Mytilus edulis: one gene and its partners. Each later gene encodes a partner of the first gene's protein in a complex. Links are inferred from orthologs where the notes say so. Each region holds a gene or a part of one and is shown in the gene's direction. Other genes may lie near its edges.

Region 1 (7,216 bases):
TTTCCTTAAAAAATACCAATTCAGGAGCAGCAACCCAACAACATGGTGTCGGATTCATCTGAAAATTTCAGGGCAGATCGATCTTGACTTGCAAAACAATTTAACCCTGTCTGAATTGCTCTTAATTCTTTGGTTTCAGAGTTATAAGCCAAAATCTACATTTTACCCCTATGTTCTATTTTTAGCCATGGTGGCCATCTTGGTTGGTTGGCAGAATCACTGCACACATTTTTTAAACAAGATACCTCAATGATAATTATGGCCAAGTATGGTTAAATTTGGACTAGTGGTTTTAGAGGAGAAGACTTTTGTAAAAGATTAGAAAAAAATACGAAAAATTGGTAAAAAATGACTTTTTTGTAGATCTTACTTTGCTGAACATTATTGCTGTTTGCAGTGTATTTCTATCTATAATAATATTCAAGATAATAACCAAAAAACGGTATAATTTTCCTTAAAATTGCCAATTCAGGGGCAGCAACCCAACAACCCTGATAAACAATTTTACCCCATGTCAGATTTGCTCTAAATGCAAATGGTTTCAGAGTTATAAGCCAAAACCTACATTTTACCCCTATGTTCTATTTTTAAACATGGCGGCCATCTTGGTTGGTTGGCCGAGTCACGCCACACATTTTTTAAACTAGATACCCCAATAATGATTGTTACCAAGTTTGGTTTAATTTGGCCCAGTAGTTTCAGAGGAGAAAATTTTTGTAAAAGCTAACGACGGACGCCGGACGCAAAGTGATAAGAAAAGCTCACTTGGCCCTTCGGGCCAGGTGAGCTAAAAATTACTTCAATCATTCCGCATCCTGATCAGCTTTCTCTTCAACTTTATGATTATGCCGCATGCCATGCAATAAGAATAAATGTGTATCTGTTTAAGTTTTTCTGAAAATTTCTGAGAATTTCTGAAAGAATATTAATACTGGACTGTCTGTCCGTCTGTTATCACACTTGTTAACACGGTCGATACTTCTTTAAACGATCTAAACCTTACCCGATGTACATGTTAAATTTTGGGAGGGGTAGGCATATTGATTTTAAAGGTCGAATGAAAAGATCAAGATATCTTAAAGTTGGTGTATTTCCTTCTTGAATAAGGGGAGATGTATCAACATTTAAGCAGTACATACGTGCGTATGGAATTTATAATTCAACATACTAGTTACTATAGAACGTTATCGGACCACAGATGAATTATCACGTTGTGATTGGTTAAACACCGTCACGTGGTGACCCCCTATTATAAGTTATATGGTTCCCTACTGACCCCCGTTGCGGCGTTTAACCAATCACAACGTGATAATTCATCTGTGGTCCGATAAGAGACCGTATGGGGTAAGTAAGTTTCATATGGGGTTCATGACGCGTTAATGGCGACGTCATCCATTAATGTTGTTGTTTATTTTTCAACAAAATGCCGCAGAAAAAGTCCAGCGTCCGATAAATTCGTTATACGGTTAACTACTGACTCCCTACGGATCCATAGAGGGTGAATAAAATGCATAGGGGACTCGGCCTCCGGCCTCACCTCCCTATGGATTTTACTAACCCTCTATGGATCCGTATGGGGTCAGTAGCGAACCATATAACTTATATTATCTATTTTATCGTAGACAAATCTTTGCCGGTTTTATAATCTTTTAATTTTTTTTACAAATGATTCTTTTTAAATTTCGTCTATGACCATGCATAAGGGAGGGTTTTTTTAATCTAGTAATCCTGTCGCCTGTTTTGTTCGCCTGAACCAAGTCCTGAAAATGTTGATACTGTGTATAGATATAATAATAAATAAATAAATAAGCTTTATTTAGAGTCAGCAAGGTATACAAACATAGACAAACATAAGCTCTAATGAGCTTTTAACCGACATACGAGACATGTTTAACAATACAACATTTATAACAATACAACCGCAAAATGCATAGCATAAAAATTTGAAAAATGGGGTATGATCTAGACGGTAAATAAATTTGCATAATATATAAACTAAAAGTCTGCGCAAACTATGCACTTACAGCCATTTCCATTCCATGATTTTAAAATATTTTTGAACTGACTAAAATTAGCATTTTTTCTAAAATCATCAGGTAGATCATTCCATTAAACAGCCTGTGTATTTAAAATAGTTCTTACCATAGGTTGATGTTCGGACCCTAGGTATATCTACAATATTGGAATATCTAAAAATAAAAATTATATTTACAATCTTTCAATACAACTGAATCATGTAAGCATGGTGGTGACAATTAATATAAAATTTTAAAACACTCAATAGCCATGTTATGCATGTACGTCTAATTTTCAGTGATGGAACCTTTGCTCGTAAAAGAAGTTCAGCATATAAACTAACATAGTCTTCATATATAAATTGTAAAGCCCTTTCCTGATTTTTTTCCAATTTGGTGGTGTTCTCTTTGTTGCAAAAATGCTATGCCATATGTTTTATTTCCAACTGCAATGGCTTGGAATTTGTCGGGATTTGCCTGCAAACAATTAAAACAAAACCAGTCAGTTAAAACAGCACTTTCTCTTTCAAGTGTACATAATAAATTTTCAAAATTGTTGTCTGCATATGACAGAGTATTATCATCGGCATAATTATATAATATAGGGTACCATGTTCAATAAAATAGAATATGTCATTTATAAAAAATATTAAATAATAGGGGCCCCAGGATTGAGCCTTGGGGTACCCCTTTCTGGATGTCAGCCCAACTGCTGAGTACTCCTTGAAGTTTGATTTGTTGCCTACGATCTGTAAGATAATTTTGAAGTAATTTCACTGATTTAGAAGAAAGACTGTAGGCAGATAATTTACTTAAAAGGATATAATGTGGTAAACAGTCAAAAGCTTTCGAAAGATCCATAAGAATAGCTGCCACATACATATTAATTATCCGGCCTCACACGGTGGAAATTATGCTTCGCCTTCATATTTGATTCCTTTTTAGTCGATCAGAGATTGTTGTTGTTTTTTTTGGGTTTTTTTTCTCCACCGTACAGAAAATGAGTTGATCGTTGTTTTTTTTCTTTCTAAATTTAAAAATGCCATTTTACTCTGTTGGAAGGTATCATTGTCACTCAAATAAATTGCAAGCATTAAATCTCTTAGTGATGATTAGTGAAGTATCGTATTATTTTTATTTTTTATTTTTGAAACGACCCCTCACATCTTACCTGTCGTAGTCGTGCTCAACTGTAGGTGTAGACAATTGTTAAAAAGGTCTATGAGTTGAGGGGCAAACAGATGATTTAGAGTCATAGAAATACAAGAAACTTTAAATATGAAATCATTATACCAATTAATATTTAGATATCCAACTAAAAATAAATTAAAAATATTTTTAATGAATGCATTATATTGTCCCACGAAAAACCTTTTTATTTAACTTTGAGTTCGGTCTTTTATTTACTATAATTTTAAACATAAGATATCGGTACATATATCATAAGTCAAATACCACTGCTTACCCTCTTGTAGGAGCAGAACCGAGGGGAAAACATACTTACCTTCTTTATAAACATTGCCAGAAAAGAGTGGGAATTATACACAGACAAATAGTTCTGGCTGACCATAGAGAAAATAACCTTAGCAATAGAGTGGGGAACACTATTTCTAAAACATCTGTAGTCATTACATAGAAAATTCTACGGGAAAGATTGATAGAAATTAAAAACAATGAATCATTCTGGAAAAACAAATGCCACAAACAAATTAAAAACACATCGTATGAAGATTTTCAAAACGGTCCACATAAACAAATCCGTAACATTTTATAAAGTGTAAAACACATCACACACACGAGAAGTCAAGACAGGAAAATTGAGTGCCTCTTTCTTGAATATCATGCACAAGAAACATTCTCACCTTTTGAGTATTATATTTGTGTCTCCCCATACATGCCATAGGAGAATATTTTTCTTTATAAATACAGGAAACCGTGAACTGAACTGGTATGCCATTCTTATCTGTATGATATTAAAAATAACCTTTAATGTCCTTACTTGTTCATAATATGAGTTTCCTTTATTATTTTTGGTTCTATTTTAAATCAAGCTTATTTTTTTAGCCCCAAAGGATCTTAATCCGTCCTACTAACTTAAATAAAAATACGTCCAGAAATCGACAATTTTGATGAACATTCAAAATATAGATTAGGACGTTGTCTTGATTTGCGATATTAAATCGCATTTGGGTTGTTGGTTTACAATGTCAACTGAACATTTCCGCTTCCGGAAACGCTAGGAAAATGCCGGCTTGATCACCATTCAAAGTTACAGTGAGCTTAATCCATTGAAATCAAATGCTTTTCTTATGCTGACATGTCATGATAAAGAAATAAGGTGCAAATAAGATAACATTCAATGATAACAAACCCGAATGAAAGCCCACAAATCTCTACAATACATTGCATTTCCTGTGTTTATACCACCCTTGTTCAGTGACATTTAGAACATACAAGAAAATAACTTGATATCATGTTCCTCATGATATCGGAGTATATCCTAATTCATTAATGTTTATTGTGCGGTATATGTCAACCATGTAAAGCTATTTTTGTCTATTATCGGGCTGCAAAAGCACCGAACACAACAAAAATATACCACAGAAAACCTTAAATTATATACAGTTTATGCATGTTTACTTTTATCAACAGCGCATTAAACGACGCATATGTAGAAAAGATAACGGTAACATGGGCTTTGATGAACAGCTCATACCTAGTTTAAATAAATTTTTATGTCCTTCCCCTGAAACTGAAAGTGAAAAGTTTGTCAGTAAAATTATGCATGCCAATCGCCATTTACCAGATAGAGGGAATTGCCTGTAAAGTTAGTCAAACAACTTCACGATCTGTATTATGCAGAATAACTAGAAATATTGTTAGTTCCACAGGTACTTAATCGTTCATAATGAAAGCAATGCTGATTATCAATTATGAAATTTAATTTGCCGATTGATTTGTGCAATACAGATTTGTATGTTTTCAACCACTTGCTCCACATGGGAAGGAAGTGACCCTGCCCCTAAATGCACAAACAATGTAGACAGTGAAAAAAGTACACAATTTAAAGCAAGAGCAACACTAACACCTTTAAACATGTTAAAACAAAACTAGGGGCGATCCAGAAGGGTAAGCAGATACTGCTCCACATGTAACGTACTATACGTAGGAAACTCTTCTCAAATGAGTAAGACCTTTGCAAAATAAAGGTTTTCACTTTTAGAGGAAGCAATCTACAATGCAGCAACACAGTTAAGTTTTTTAAAAATATTATCAACTAAAACTAATATTTTTCTCAGTTAGATATTTTCACAATCAGATTTTTACATAGGTCACATCGTGTTGAAAAAATCTTAGACATCTCACAACTGCTTTATCTGTATTTCAGGCTTGAAGAATGTATCTGTATAACTTAACTTTACAAAGAGCTACTGGTATTGCTCATGCAATCCATGGCAACTTTTCTGGAAGCAAGTTACAAGAAATAGTTGTATCCAGAGGCAAAATTTTGGAACTTCTAAAACATGACCCAAATACTGGAAAATGTTACCCTTTGTTGTCAACAGAAATATTTGGAACTATTAGAGCTCTTATTCCCTTCAGATTGACTGGTGGTTCTAAAGGTAAGTTAAATAACTGCTGAGGCCACAATTAAAAATATTTTGGTTTGCCCAAACACTATCCAAAGGTTGAGACAGTGGGTAGGTAGGTAGGCATTTTCTTTCTTTTTTTTCAAAAAAAGAAATTGAAGTATCGGGTGTTTATTAGTCTTCATGCCTATCTGATTAAAAAAAAAAAACTGCTTCAAATCAGGACAAGAAAAGAATTTGAGTAGGCAGCTTTTTTCTGGGTAGGTATATACGTAGGGTTTGGGCAAACAAACCTATTCTTTTTTATGGCCTGATGTATGGCTTTTTATAGATCTTCTTTTAGTTGTCCCTCCACCAATAAAAACTGGCTGCACCAAAATAGCCTAAATATATGGCTATGCAGTGCTCAAAGGTGGCATTTAAGCACCAGAAATCAAAATCCTTTAGTTGTCTTTTATACATTTATGTAGGACTCTTATAAAGTGCGATGGTTGATGTTTTTTTTTTAGTGCGATCAAATGACACGCTAAAGTGTGATGATATATAACATGCCGACAGATGCATTTTAAAATTATTTAATTCAATAAATTTATATCGGACACTTGAAACCGAAAATAACTAGACCAGTCTCAAAATTACCGGACATTTGCCAATGTCTGACTGACCTTTGAAATCACTGAGAGTGTAATTCAGTTTTTCTCACATACACAAAAAAAAATTCTATGAAAAAAATGTTTCCAAGGACAAACACTCAACAAAAACTTGTGGCCACCTATATGGTAGAGGTATTACAGAGAAGTCTGTCAGTATAGTTAATGATAGGTAGGGAATTGACTGATACTTAGTTAGGTAAATCAAGCTATTAACAACAAGCTACCATATATTTAATTTTGAAGTACTTAACATTTGCAAATTTACCTAAAAATTATTGTATACATGCCAATTTTTGAGTAAAATGATATTTTCAGATTACATTGTGGTTGGGTCCGACTCTGGAAGAATTACTATCTTGGAATATATACCTCAGAAGAATGTGTTTGAAAGGGTAGGTTTACAGCTGATAAAAAAATGTTTACCACATATTTGAATTTTCGTGTTTTAGAAAGAAAGGAACATCTGTATAATAAAACAAATTTGTGAGGGTTCCACAAACCAGTGTCTCGCCTACTGTTGCTGTAAATTACAGGCTCAACAAAAAGGAAAGAAAAAAATCAATAGAAATATTCCGCTTGATACTATCTTTTGATTGTAAGAAGCTTCTGTCCAAGTTTGGTAAAAATCCAGGATAGTTTATGAATTTTAAAAACTTTAACTGCAGACTGGATGTAATGTTAACTGGAAGAAAAACTAAGTCCATTTACAAGTAAAATACAGATACACAGGTACAAAATATTAACAAAATTTCCTTCTAGATACAAGCTTATGTCCACGTTTGGTACAAATTAAAAATAGTATAAGAAAGTTATCAAGATTTTTAAAAATTTTAACCACAGAGTGAATGTGTTGTTTCCTGGCAGAAAATCTAAGTCCATTTACAGTAAATTAAGGAAAAAATTAATTTATCGTTTTAAAAAATTTACTTCTGGATACTATCTTATGATCATAAACAAG
Region 2 (7,957 bases), on another chromosome or scaffold:
TTACATCGCGATGACCGTGAGGGCATTCCGTTGCTTTGTTACCACAGAGATCTGACTTGCGTTTTTGACTAGTAATCGATCGTATAAATAACAATCCGTATCGCTTGTTATAAATTCATTTCTTCAATGAATACTAAAAAAAAATGTTTAGAAAACAAATGAATAAGATGTAAATGTCTGTTTACGTAAGAAATGTGTATATATTTTTTCTATATTTATACATTTAGATCGTTCAGTGCTGTTTATTTGGTATTTTTATTGACGTAATTGTTCTTGTACCATCATAACTGTCGTTGCCTTTAAAGCTTTAGAAGTGTGCACTTAACAAAAGATTCAGCACCCAAATGACGTTTTGAAGGACAGGAAAGCAGTTATTTATAAGGGGTTTATCTGATATAAGATTTATGCATGAGTTCGAATGAGAGAATTTTCCATCAAAGTAATAGTTTGTTTTAAGTAAACCATTATAGATCAAAGTAGGGCCTTAAACACGGAGCCTTGACTCTCAGCGAACACCACGCTATATAGGAACCAAAAAATAACTAGTGTTAAACCACTCAAACAGGAAAACCAACAGTCTAATTTGTATACAAAAAGGAGATTCAAAAAAGCACAGGCCAAATTTTGTCGAATCAATCTGAACGAGTACAGTATGATTCATCTTTGTCAAAAGTTAGTTTCATTGTTTTCAATAAAGAAAGTCTTCCATGCATGCGTTACGAGCATATCTGATATATATTATTTGGGTGCGTTCATTATAAATTTGCTAAATGTTATATATATGTGAACAATGATTTTGATACTTAGCTATTTGATTACGACATTGTTTATTAAACCCTATCGGTACTGGCGTTTTCAAATTTTGAAAATGGTGGATTGAACCTGGTTATATTGCGCTAAACCTGTCACGTGTATGACAGTATCATCAAATTCTGTCATATTTACAACGATGCATGAACAAAACAGACATAAGAGGTAAAATTGTCAAAATTTGGAGAAAGCAGTCAAATATTAATACTAATAATTACTATTATAGATATTACAAAAACACCGCTATGATATTTTAAAAGTATCGCATTGATATTTTAAAAGTATCGCATTGATATTTTAAAAGTACCGCATTGTTTATTTATGTATATAGGAAAAACACAGCACTTCAAATTTTTCACGGACATAAACTTTAGCTTCTAACTAACTTCTGAATGTATATTTAGACTCAATTGTTGTTTATATTTGAACAATAAGTTTTAAAGTTAGTATTTTCATAATTTTTCGTTGCCGAAAACAACATTTTCCGCATGGAATGTCTGCATATTTACAATTGATATTAGACAATATCGCTCATTGATATAAGAAAAGTTTTTATCGATACGCTTCTTCCATAGACTGATAATTGTAAATCATTTTTACGGTTGATGTGAGCTGCAAGGATTTAAAATCATACTTTATGGATTGAAAACACACAAGTATTTTTTATTCACGACCGTTTTAAATCTGAATATTTAATAAACTTGTATTACTTTCCGTTTTTATGGATCTATAATAATACAAAAAAAAATAATTATAATTACTCATAAAACCCAAATAACAAAATGGTATGAAATAAATAACGTAGAAATTTAAGGATTATTGTTTATAAACAATTTTTTTTTGTATGATGCAAGAATTTATTAAGATTTAATTTTTATGTTTCCTGTACAAATGAATATTTAAAAATACCAAAGCAGAGTATCTTGTCGTATAAAATGCTTATTTCTTAATTGCAACTCTGAAAACATTCTGATTTCAATCATTGTTAGGTTCTTCAGAAACATAAATACAGTATATATTTTATATATATGTCTTTGATTCGGATTGAATTAAATAAATTTGATAAGAATATTATCTTTCTGTTTTCCGATCTAATATTAATATTTTAACTAGAATGTTCTCTCTCGTAAATCTATGACTGAAATACACAGTATCCCGTGTTTCAATCTTCAAACATAATTAGTTTAATACATGTTATCGAGACAACAGACACTACCACGTTATAATTGATCTAGATACACACAGTGTACAGTTGTCGTTTTAAAACATAATTGCATCGTCAAGGGCCACCAAGAGACCACATCAAAGACTAAACTGGTCCGCCGTTCTATCTATAGCTTCGCACCAGTGTAGCGATAAGTGAACACAACAGGGGTCCAGTTTAATCAAAGACTTGATAACGACCTGTTAAGACCTATATAAATAACCGAAAACTTTCGAGACGTTCCGAGAAATTTATTCTGACTGCCGGCCGATAGATATCGGGTGGCCCATAGACACATCCAAAACTCGCCAATATATTAGCATGAACCCCCTGTTCATGCAAAAAGTTAAAAAGTATATTCAAACAAAACGCATTTGACTCACAGGTCGAACAACTGGTGTTCTTTAACCCTGCTGACTGCCATTGGCGATATATATATCCCTGCTTTCATGTCGATCCGGCCCACGGTGATTTCGACCATATTTAAAGTCGATCCGGCCCCAATAAAAATATATTTATAAAGAATAAAAATAAAAATATATATTAATTGTAATTCATAAATGTTTATGAATTTTATTATAATGCAAAAGGTGTACGGTAAAAGAAAATGGCATATTTGACGAATGTCTTCTTTACACGGGTATAAAACAACTAGGTTGATTATGTTTGCATTACAAGTTTTCAAACTTGTTTTTTTATCTACACACAACCAGAGACATATATTATGTCTCTGACACAGTATTCAAAATATTGTCAACTTAAAAAAAAATAATGACTATATTCGATATTACAAAAAACAACAAGTGTATGATATATTACAGTCCCTGATGTTACCTGAAAACAAATACATTATTATAAGACATAACATCAAACAAAAGATCAAACTATAAAGACCTTGTTGATTACGTAACTTCAATACGCATGGATATCCTTAAAATAAACTACTATCTGATTGTACATGTTAAACACGTGCTCAATATCCATACTTTTTTGTTGATTGTTGTCAAACAGGTGACAATCGTTAAACTTCGGCTTCAAAACGCGAACTTTAATTACCCGCCATATTTTCACAACAACACTGACCCATTGAAAATATAAATTGACGATTATACGAAAATTATGCGAAAAAAATGGTAAAATCGTGCTCAGAAGACTAAGTTTATGATGTTTGTATGCATTGGCCCAAGAATTGGAATAATATCATTTTTCACCGGTCACTCGTTACATATGACTTTAAATGGATAAAAATCGCCATGACATTCAAGGAAAATAACTTAATTTTGATATGCTGTTCAAAGTTGCTATACAAAAAGACACAATCATAACCATTTTGGTATCGACTTAAAATATTTCATCTTACTCCAATATATTCATACTTCTCTTACCTGTTGTCATCCATCATTCCAAATTCCATTTATACTGATTCATTCCTTATCATTTATTATGGGGCCGAATCGGTTTGGGACTGGATACCTATATAGCCATATTATGAAATGATGTGTCTGCAAATCTGTGGCCGAGCGGAGCGAGGTGAAATATTTTGTGATTATTTTACATGTATTATGCAGAAAATTATATTTTTTGGGACATTTTCCCTGTATGCATGTGTACTCTCATAGAATCCAACACTGGTTAGATTCTTGTTTAATTTCGAAATACCAAAAACTCGAAACCATCATCATTCAATTCATACCGTCTAATGTTTGATGTAAAAGTTTCACACCAAATCCTATCTTTGACATTTCAAAACCAGACCCATTACAGCGACACTTCTGAATATGAAACTTTGGAATATAGGAACCGAAGTGACCCTCCTTTCCCGGAATTTTAGCCTCCAAATGAGGCAATCTAATTAAAATATAGATCTCCGATTTCGTTATACTATGTTACTACATATGTGCAATCTAATTAAAATATAGATCTCCGTAGTATAACGAAATCGGAGATCTATATTTTAATTAGATTGCAAATGAGGTTTTTGATTACTTGTCTTAACGAATTGCATGCAGGAGATATAGAAATATAGGGCGTCCGTCCGTCCTGTCTTGTTGGCGCTATCATGTATACAATTATTGCTAGATTTTGGTGAAACTTATATCATCTTTGACACTTCAAATGTTTTTAATCCATTATGCTCCCTGTGAGCAAGGATCCCATGCAACTTTTTCTATAGGTGCCGAATTGACTTTTTAACACACCCTTTCCCCCATAGAGAGAAAACGACCAGACCATAAAATATTTTTTCCGAGTCGGTGATTTAATTCAAGGTATATATATTTGTGTGTGATCTAGACCTTACTGGTATATTTGTGAGTGATCTGAGACCTTACTGGTATATTTGTGAGTGGTCTAGACCTTACTGGTATATTTGTGAGTGATCTAGACCTTACTGGTATATTTGTGAGTGATCTAGACCTTACTGGTATATTAAGTCACTTGATTGATTATGATTTATTATTATATGTCTAAAATGAAAAACAAAATAATGATAAGTATATGAGGGAACATGCTTCAGTGTAACTCGAGACATATATACTACAAATGTATAAATGTCTCCAGTGTAAAATAATAATATATACATATGTATAGTTAAATTCAATTTTATTTATTGTCATTAAACAATTACAATGTTTGTGGCATTACAAGTTTAAAATAATAATAAACATCAAAACTTACAAAACGGAACAGTTTACAAAAAATAATAATAAAAAAAAAGTGATTAATTTACAATATTTAATGTTTAAATAACCATGTTACAATGCCCTTTGTTCAATATTTAGTTGAATCGTGTTTAAAAAAGATATTTGTTTCAAGGGGTGAAGCGAGCTAGGCAAATTAAAAACAAACCATATCTTTGGGTAAGACCATATTTTAGTATAAACCTTATTTTCCGGATACTGATTAGTTTTTACTTTTAGAAACAACGCTTATTCGAAACTACAGCATTATAGCTCTGTTTATTGGACGGTCATTTATGCGTTTTATAGAACAGAGTGATCTTATGTCCAAACAAAAAAATATTTAACCCAGAAAAAGAAAACGAAATACATTCTGTTACAAATTTACTCCAAAATTTTAACAATGCTGTTGTTCTTCTGAGTTCTCGAATGCTGTAAATCCGTTAGAAAATCAAGAAATTAAGTTGAGATGTCGAGCAATGTGCCGATCCAGTCGACTGCTGGAGCAGTCCCTTTAAAAAATGAAAAAGGCAAGTATATGGTGTAATTGGGTAAAAGACAATAAGACTGTATTGATAGGCTCAATATACAGAAGCCCATCAAATCAAAACTCATGTTTAAATATTATTGGACTTTTGAATGAAGCAGCTCGATTGTATAACAATATTTTAATAACGGGAGACTTTAATATGCGTGATATTGATTGGAACTTTTGGACTACGCCTCACTCTGAGGACCATTACGAACATACTTTTATTGAAGCTTTACGCGACAATTTTCTATATCAACATATAGATAAACCTACAAGATTTAGGGAAAATCAGATGTGTAGAACTCTAGATTTAGTTATTACAAAAGATGAAAGCAATATTGACAATATTAATATTGATGCTCCACTGGGACTTAGTGATCATGCTACCATTACATTTGACTTTTTGTACTCTTTCAATGAATATGAAACTGGTAAATCGAAATATAAATATTCCAAATGTGACTTCGAAAAATTTTCTGAAGACTTTAGCAATTTTGATTGGGATAGTTCTTTTGAAGATAAAGACATAAGCGAGATGTGGAAAATATTTTATGAAAAATATAAAAAATGTGTCGAAACGTATATACCGAAAACTAATCCTAAACCGGGTTGTCAACCTAAACCATTATGGCTAACATTTGATTGTCTGAGCAATATAAAACGCAAACAAAAGGCCTGGTCAAGATACTTGGCTACTAGACGAGCAGTAGATTTTGATTTTTATAAAGTTGCTAGAAACAGGGCAAATGAGAACGTTCGAAAAGCAAAAAAGGAATATGAGAAGTTAGTGGCATCAAAAGCTAAAACTGAGCCAAAACATTTTTGGACATATGTCAAAAGTAAAGTGAAATCAAAATCAGCAGTATCAAACCTCATGAAACCAAATGGGAACTTAACTACTTCCGACAAGGAAAAAGCGACTGTATTAAATGACTTTTTTACCAGTGTATTTACTGCTGAAAATCCAAATAATATACCTAATATTGAAGAGAGAAATTTTGAATCATCTTTAGACCACTTTGTGATCAATCAAGATACAGTTGAAAAATATCTACTTTTATTAAATGGAAGCAAGTCTATGGGTCCAGATAATATTCATCCGTTAATAGTAAAGAGTATGGCAAATACATTTTCAAAACCTTTGACTTTGATATTTCAAAAGTCCATTGACACTGGAAAAATTCCAAAAGAATGGAAAGATGCTAGAGTTACCCCACTTTTTAAGAATAAAGGTAGTAAACTGGATGCGGGAAATTACAGACCGGTCAGTCTAACTTCAATTGTTTGTAAAACTTTGGAAAAGGTTATACGGAAGGAAATGATTGATCATTTAATAACCAATAATTTGTTATCAGACTCACAGTTTGGTTTTCGCTCTGGAAGATCATGTATATTACAATTACTTGATGTCATGGAAGACTGGTCATTATATATGGATAATAATATATCCTGGGACACATTATATCTCGATTTTGCCAAAGCTTTCGATAAAGTGCCACATAAAAGATTACTAAAGAAACTGTATTCATACGGTATTCGTGGATCTATATTAGAATGGATAACTGACTTTTTAACTGGACGTCGACAACAAGTTGCGGTGAAAGGGGAAAAATCTGAATGGCAAAATGTAATTAGTGGAGTGCCCCAAGGCAGTGTACTTGGACCTGTTCTTTTCATTATATTCATAAATGATTTACCAGATGTTGTGGAGTCTATAGTAAAAATTTTCGCAGACGATACTAAAATTTATGCACCTACTTCTAAATCTGATGTCTTACAGAATGATCTAGATGCCCTCTACGATTGGTCCAAGTTATGGGACATGAAATTTAATGTGAACAAATGTAAACAAATCCATTATGGAAGAAATAATCCTGAAAATGTTTATACCATGAACAATATTGATATCATTAAAGATGAACAAGAAAAGGATCTTGGAATTATTTTTCAAAATGATCTTAAATTTTCTCAACATATATCAAGTAAAATAAATAAAGCCAATAGTATACTTGGGCTAATTAACCGAACTTTTATCTTTAAAGATCAATATACATTTTTAAGACTATACGTTGCGTTGGTACGACCACACGTGGAATATGGAAATACAATATGGTATCCGCATTTAAAGAAAGATATTAATGCTGTAGAAAAAGTGCAGATGAGAGCAACTAAATTAATTCCTGATATACGACATTTAAGCTATGAAGACAGATTAAAAGTACTTAAACTACCTTCCCTAACTCACAGAAGGCGAAGAGGTGATATGATACAAGCTTTCAAAATATTAAAAGGATTCGAAGATATATCTTATGAAAGATTTTTTACTGTCATCAGTACAAATACCCGTGGGCATAATTGGAAATTAGCAAAACCTAGATGTAACACTTCTTTTCGATTAAGACATTTCTCACAACGAATTATTAATGATTGGAATAACCTACCAGTTGAAGTTATTTCATCAAAAACTGTGGAAGCCTTTAAAATTAGTATAGACCGTCATTGGGAGTCAGTCATGTATCAGTTAAGAAATTGATGAGGACACAAATAGTTTTCTATATAACTTTTTAATTGTGTGAAATATTGCACCAAATCATGCAGGATTGATGATTGTATCAGTTTTGAAAGTGTACCAAAATAGGGTGGGCTAAAAAGGATAGGATCCTTCCATATGAGCCCCACAACGATCTTACAGGTATCTTACAGGTATACCCACAAATTATTTGGCACAAGCCA
Region 3 (6,871 bases), on another chromosome or scaffold:
TTAGAGTGCGAAAACTAAAAGTATTCGGACGACGACGACGCAGACGACGACGCCAACGTGATAGCAATATACGACGAAAAATTTTGCGGTCGTATAAAAAATTGTATTGGTTATAATCGTTTTAATAATTTTAGAACTATTCAGAGTCTAAAGTGTCACTTTCACATTCTTTGAATCCTTTGTATACCCCATCCAACGATGGAAACTCTTTTCTAATTATGTTAACTACACAAGCCGGTAGGATTATTCTGTGTTTCTTGCCAAGTGGTTGACCTTTCCTGACCCAGCACACAAACTGACGATAAGCTGTAAGCTTGCTTTGCCTGTGAGTAAGTACGTCTGGAGATCTCCCTCTATGGCACTTGTACCTCAGGAAACTAATATAGCTTGTTTCAAGAACAACAGGGTTTAGACATACTATTCTAAAATCTGTATTTTCAGTGAAACATTCACCCAATTTCATTTTTTTTTATCAAATAGCATAAATTCGTGGCAGCAGAAACATTCCGCCGGCAATGGCATGACTATACAGTTTGTACATGAACATCAATTGACGTCTTTTTGTCTCGTATAAAAATTAGGTAGAAGTTATTCTTTAAAATTTGATAAGCTTGTGTATTTATAACGATGGTGATTCCATTATTGAAATTTCAGGTTATCATTCTTATTCAATTCCATTCCAGTTAGACAAAGTTGACATTTAAATTTTTCAGGCAACTTTTTTGAAATTTTCGTTCAAATAGCTGAAGAATTAGTACGTGGTGAGAATTAAATTATTTTGATAAGGACATTAATTCCTGAATATGTAAAAAAAAAAAGAAGATCGCTTTGAACGACCCAATTATATAATTGCAATTGGTAATTACTATCTATTTAAAAAATTCAAGGTCACCGATTCTTATTTTAAATTTTTAATTCATTTACTTTTGTTTATAAGGACATCATTATTCATAAATTTATTCAATTAAACTAATTCAGTATTTCTTTTTTTACAAAAAATATTCAGCGTCAATAATATATATTTAAACTGAGCTTATGGAAAATATTAAGATTCCCCACGTGTATCATTCATACGAAATGTTGTTCACACCTAGAAAAGTGAACCGTGACAGCTTAAATTTACTGAGTAAAGATCAAAAGATACAAAATGATAATCTTTTAATTAACTTGAATTTAACCACGCATTCAACAGGTAGTCACTATGTGTCAAAGTACAATACACATTGTATTTGCTGGGCCGTATTTGCACACTACAAATGTACTAGCAGGACATATATTTACTAGACAGACTGATGTAAAAGGTAAAAAGTACAAACATGCATTTTTAAAACACTATCAGTTAGGCCAGGATTTTTTAATTTGTTGGTTTACGGATCCGCCGACCCGATTTTGCCGATTTCCAAAATAAAAATAAAATCAAATTTTCAGGCTTTTTTTTATTCTCTCCGACCCTAACAAATGCAGTATCCCTGAAAAATAATTAAAATATCCTTTTTTATGAAATGAAATGCATTAATCACTAACAGAAGTGATGACACTTTCTGTTGTGAAAAATGAATCTTTCAGTTTACGTTTCTAAAAATAGACAAATCAATTATTAATGACCTTGAAATGTCGTTTGCGCAAATAATTTTGCGGAACGAAACCTGTGTTTAAAACAAATTACACAATGAGTTCGTTTCCCTTATTTGTCACCAGTCCGTAAGATGCATGTTCTCGTATAAATAGACTTGTCCAAATGTGGACAGGTGGAAGTTCAAGAAATCAAGTTAAAATACTGAATTTTAACAAATCATTTGATATTTTCTTGTTTTACAGATAATAAAAAAATATCGTCCATTTGGATAAAAAACGGGAATGCATAACAACAGATTATTTAACCTGATATTCTCGTTTTTTCCAGTGGACGAGTCTATTACGTTTTTGACACGTGTGTTGAAACTTATTTTCGTACGACGTTTTTACTTTTTTTCTTTATCAGTTTTGGTGCTTATTATTTTTCACCAAGTTTTGATTAAAAGCTAAGTCAAATAACTGACGTGAATCTGTTTTTCTTGTTTGTGAAATGACGATTTAATTTCGTCTTTGTCAGTGTACCCCCCCTTTTTTTACGGGAAATTATTAGACAATGTCATGCGATGTTTACAGCTGAGCAATAATATTTCATCAAACTAAAATTTAAGAACGATGAAAAATAGTATGACAAACATATTATTAGAAAGGTGAAATATATTTTTATTTTGCATATGGTTTTCTGTCTTGAAAGATCTTTTTTTTTCTTTTTTCCCGACCGACCGACCCGACTTTTTCATGGAGAAAATCCGTAAACCAACAAATTAAAAAACCGTGGCCTTATATATGTCTGTTCAAAATATCATCAAAATATTCTTTTATATGACTTACTTGTATCACTATAATCATTTCAGAAAATATTAAAATATAAATCGTACATTCTTATTTTAAGCTGATCACTATTCCATCTTAATTATTAGTTGGTTAATAGCTACACCAAACGTTGTCGATGCGCTTCAAATAGCGTTATAAGATGAATAACGATTAAGATTTACAATGAGATTATTTCAACTCCCGGCATGCAAGAAGACTTAAAACTACGTCACATAAGTCATGTAAGTCAGGAAGTTCAAAGAAATAAAATAAATAATTTTCAATTTTCTCCTTTATTGCTGTTCATATCCAGATAAATCTTGGTGAATATGTTGTTTATGGTACAATGAACAAAACTAGCTGATAAGTAAAAATTCGTGAATTATCCCTTTAAAATATGTTTGATTTAAAAAAAAATTCATACAGACTTCTTCCCCTTTCATAGTTAATGCCTGCCTCATATTTTTTCTGCTTCATGTTTACAGATTAGTGCTGCTGTTGTAGAAAGGTCAAGTTTTTTATGAGTAAGTTAGTAAGAAAATTATGTCCCTTAGAACAATGTAGAAACTTAATATACATGATACATTTGTATATAGGGTATAAATCAGAAAATTGCTTCAGATTCAATATGCAGTTTACTCATTTTATAGACCTCTATAACATGTTTTGAAAGCACTTTTTAATATCCCTTAGAAACTTTATATAGGGCTTAAATCCATGGGCGGATCCAGGGGGGCCAGGCCCCCCCCCTTTTCGTTAGAAAAATTTGGTTGATTAAATAAAGGGTACCACTGAAGCTTGACTGGAACAGGGGCCCCCTTCCTTAGGTCAGTCAGTGGACCCCCTTATGAAAAGTTCTGGATCCGCCACTGAAATGAAAAAATTGCTTCAGACTCAAAAAGTGATTTACTCATTTTATAGACCTCTTTAACATGTTTTAAAAGCGATTTTTAATGTTGCACTTCAATCTATGGCTATATTGAGAGTGCACAAATGTCCATAATGAGTCCGGATAAATATATGTACATTTCTACGTCTTATGTACACGTTGAAAGCTTTTTGCGTGTTGTTGACAGTTTTAGGAAGACCGGGCAGTTTTTCTATGATTTTGATTCGTGGCTCAACATTTAGAACATAATTTGGGTCTATACTGTTGAAAGACTGTGAACTAATGCCTACCAGCTGATTTGTCTGGGGTGTCACTGGTTGGAGTTGACATTTTCAGTCAGTATTTCTTTCCTACACCTGAGTGTGATTCACAGTGTTGCCGGAAGTTGCTAAATTGTCATTACGGGTGACGTCACATCGACGTATACTCTCTAGACTAAAAGAATAAAATTAGAAAATTGAAGACAATGTATTCAAGTTGTGATCATTTTTTATTCTTGACAAATTATGATACCTATAAATTAAATTACAAACTCAAACGTTATTCACTTTTATAAGCTAGTTTAATGACTATTTCAAGACGTTGCTCAAACGTTTTAAAAATGGAAATTGCATTCGGTACATAAAGCACTTTTACAGCCTTGAACAGCAAAAATGGCATTGAGCAGAAAAGGGGGAAATGTAAATTGTTTAAATCATTATCTGATCTTATGTTATTGGCTTTAAATTCTTTAGAAATGATTGAGTATATGTTTTCTAGCGCAATGATTCAAGACAACTGTGTTTACCTTAATTAAGAGCTTTATGAGGGAATAATTAATAAAAAAAAATACATGTTTATACCCCCTTGCCTTAGCAATAAGTAAAATATTTGTTTACCAAAACCATTGTTACAGTGTTAGGGTCAATTTTACTTGATTTAGAGTTGTACCATTTCATGAGTTAAGTCAAGAAAAAACCTTAAAAATTATGTTCAAAACACCAAAACGGCAAAAGGCAAATCCAGTATAATTTTAAGGTTGACTTTTGTGTCCATGTGCAGATGGGTATCAGGTCCGTTCGCGCCCAATACACTTTCTCACCCTACATGTTCGCACCTCGCACGTTCGAACCCAATTTAAAATCACAAATTCCAGTTGAATAATTGGAAAATCATGATTGTTGTTTTAAATTGCTTTGATTCAAATACTTTGATCTGAAACAATGAAAACAAAAAATGATAGCAATATACGAACCAAAACATGATTTTAAATTAATTCAGCACAAAAAAAAATGTTGTTGGAATCTCACTTTATTTTTGAAACAATGAAAACATTATAGCAATACACGAAATAAACCATGAGTAAGATTTATCCAACACCCCAAAAAAAACCGTCACAATCTCACTTTATTTCAGTAGAAACAATGATGTGTTTTTTTACAGCAAAAAAATTATTAATAAAGTAAGCAAATTTTTCAACAAACTTACCATATTCTGTTCAAATAATAAACTATTAATGCAACTACATGTACATGTATGCAACAATAAAACAAATAAAAAAAATGAGGGTGAATGGACCCTTGGCAAATAGATATTAGGGTGAACAGGTACTAGGCAGAACGTGAATCAAGGCAAACAGACCTAGATTCATCAAGAAGCAACAAAAAACTTAAGATAATTCTAATTCAACTATTATTTCAAATATATATATTACATGTATTAAGAATTGCCTAACAATGTAATTTTAACTTTTAATTGCGTTTATTTTCATTATTTTGTAAATATTTTAAACATTCTTATATTTACATACTAAATAGTGTGTTAAAATTAAATTGTTAGGCAATCTATAATTTTATTTGTGTAATTGAATTAATCTCTGTACTGATCAGGGCTCACACTACTTCAGAATTATAGGGAGAAGTGACTTCTCTTTTTGAAACTGATAGGGAGAAGTGGTGAGATTTGAAAGAGAAGTGCTCATTCGCGCTGTGCGATACAATGTTTGGATTTTACAATAGTATAAAGGGCCATATATGTAAATAATGTTTTTTTTATACTGTTCAATTCATATCTGAGTAAAAACATTACAATTAAAGTAACATTTGAAATTAAAAGTTGTTTAAGCTTGTGAGAAACTACCAACTAAATATCTAGCACTAAAAAAATAAAAAATATTTAAAAAAAATGTAAAGAAATTATAATATATCAATTACAATTTAATTAAAAATTATCTTGTGTATGACATTCAGTGTTTCTCATAAAAAAAATATAAAAGTTATTAAGCTGGGCCATAATATATTGATATTAGTATAATAGTCTCAGAGTTAAGTAACTTTAATCAATAGTTTGAAACAATCCATAAAAAATATAAGGAATTATATACACCAATCAATTAGATGTAACCAAAAGTCTCTTAATGCGTGTGGAATGCGTAATTTTTCCCTTTGGGATCAATATTCTTCTGTCAGCTGTTCCATCCGTGCGTCCGTAGTAATTATTGTAAAAGTACGGATTTCGGTCATAGCTGGTCCGGTTCAGATCCGTAGATTAGAAATCGGTCAATGGCGGACGAATGCAAGAAAATTTACAAAAATAAACGATGTTTGACAAGTTATTTGGAAAGAAACATGACGTTTTTAATGCAATAAATGGATTAAAATTTACTGGAGGCAACTTTTATCACGTTTAAATGAAGTAACAAACTTATTTTGCCGCCGAAATTGAGGTTGATGTACGTTTTCGAGTGAACAAGCACCGGTACTTGCAGAAATGCACGAAGTGATAAAAAGTTGTATTTTTATCAAATAACCTGCTACACACTGCGAAGACAATGCTTCAACCTCTTTTCAAAAGATAATGAATCGTTTATGTCTGAAATTCTTTAATTATCAATAAAAATTTGATGTTTCATCAACTTGGTAAAAATTGAAAATGTCCGATGACGGAAGCGACTGAAAGCGACTGTCGTCAAGAACAGGGCGACTTGTTTTCGCTTTTGGGGGTCGAGGAAAGCGAAGTGACGGTCGGGAAGGCGACTTCTTCGCCCAAGTCGCCTGGTAGCGTGAGCCCTGCTGATTGATCCACACTCCAATAGATTTGTATGGACATCATGTGCTGCTGTTTATAGGCACTTATTTATTAAAAAGATATTCATTAAAGGGGCAGTAATAAGGTGATTTTCATTATTCAGGTTCGGCTTCCACCAGAGGTCAACAGGATCCTGTATATCAGAAATCTGCCCTACAAAATAACAGCTGAAGAAATGTATGATATTTTTGGAAAGTATGGTGCTATACGACAAATAAGAGTGTAAGTATTAAAACAATGTTGACTTAGATCTATAACACGTATAATGTGTACTATTTCTATTCTGTCCGAAATTTCAAATCCTAGCCTTTTTTACCTAGATTATTTAATTCTTAAATTTTACAGCAATACAACAAAAAACCAAAATGACCTGGGATTCAGTAAACTTAGTATATACAGTCTTCGAATTTGGGCGGTAGTCCGAAGCCCGAGGCGTGTAAAATCATCGTCGGGCCTGTAAATCTTAATTTGTACGCGCCCGTTGGGCCTGTAGAAATTCCGTAGTGTTAATAACTTCAGCCGTGATAGAAA

What was found. The genes of interacting proteins can lie anywhere in the genome.
Region 2: splicing factor 3B subunit 3-like (region 1) and microfibrillar-associated protein 1-like share a complex: the UniProt entries of both Drosophila melanogaster proteins name them as parts of the spliceosome B complex. The link is inferred for Mytilus edulis from reciprocal best matches to the Drosophila melanogaster genes Sf3b3 and Mfap1.
Region 3: splicing factor 3B subunit 3-like (region 1) and splicing factor 3B subunit 6-like share a complex: the UniProt entries of both Drosophila melanogaster proteins name them as parts of the splicing factor SF3B complex. The link is inferred for Mytilus edulis from reciprocal best matches to the Drosophila melanogaster genes Sf3b3 and Sf3b6.

Annotation. Positions count from the first base shown.
Region 1 is NC_092348.1:7,220,021-7,227,236, reverse strand, and holds the start of splicing factor 3B subunit 3-like, read left to right. Parts: upstream 1-4,212; 5' UTR 4,213-4,353; intron 4,354-5,403; 5' UTR 5,404-5,412; coding exon 5,413-5,638; intron 5,639-6,573; coding exon 6,574-6,650; intron 6,651-7,216. UniProt on the Drosophila melanogaster protein: Involved in pre-mRNA splicing as a component of the splicing factor SF3B complex, a constituent of the spliceosome. SF3B complex is required for 'A' complex assembly formed by the stable binding of U2 snRNP to the branchpoint sequence (BPS) in pre-mRNA.
Region 2 is NC_092350.1:92,500,309-92,508,265, reverse strand, and holds the start of microfibrillar-associated protein 1-like, read left to right. Parts: upstream 1-4,931; 5' UTR 4,932-5,161; coding exon 5,162-5,222; intron 5,223-7,957. UniProt on the Drosophila melanogaster protein: Required for pre-mRNA splicing.
Region 3 is NC_092355.1:34,233,659-34,240,529, reverse strand, and holds the start of splicing factor 3B subunit 6-like, read left to right. Parts: upstream 1-3,845; 5' UTR 3,846-3,927; coding exon 3,928-3,954; intron 3,955-6,443; coding exon 6,444-6,562; intron 6,563-6,738; exon of another isoform or gene 6,739-6,871. UniProt on the Drosophila melanogaster protein: Involved in pre-mRNA splicing as a component of the splicing factor SF3B complex. SF3B complex is required for 'A' complex assembly formed by the stable binding of U2 snRNP to the branchpoint sequence (BPS) in pre-mRNA.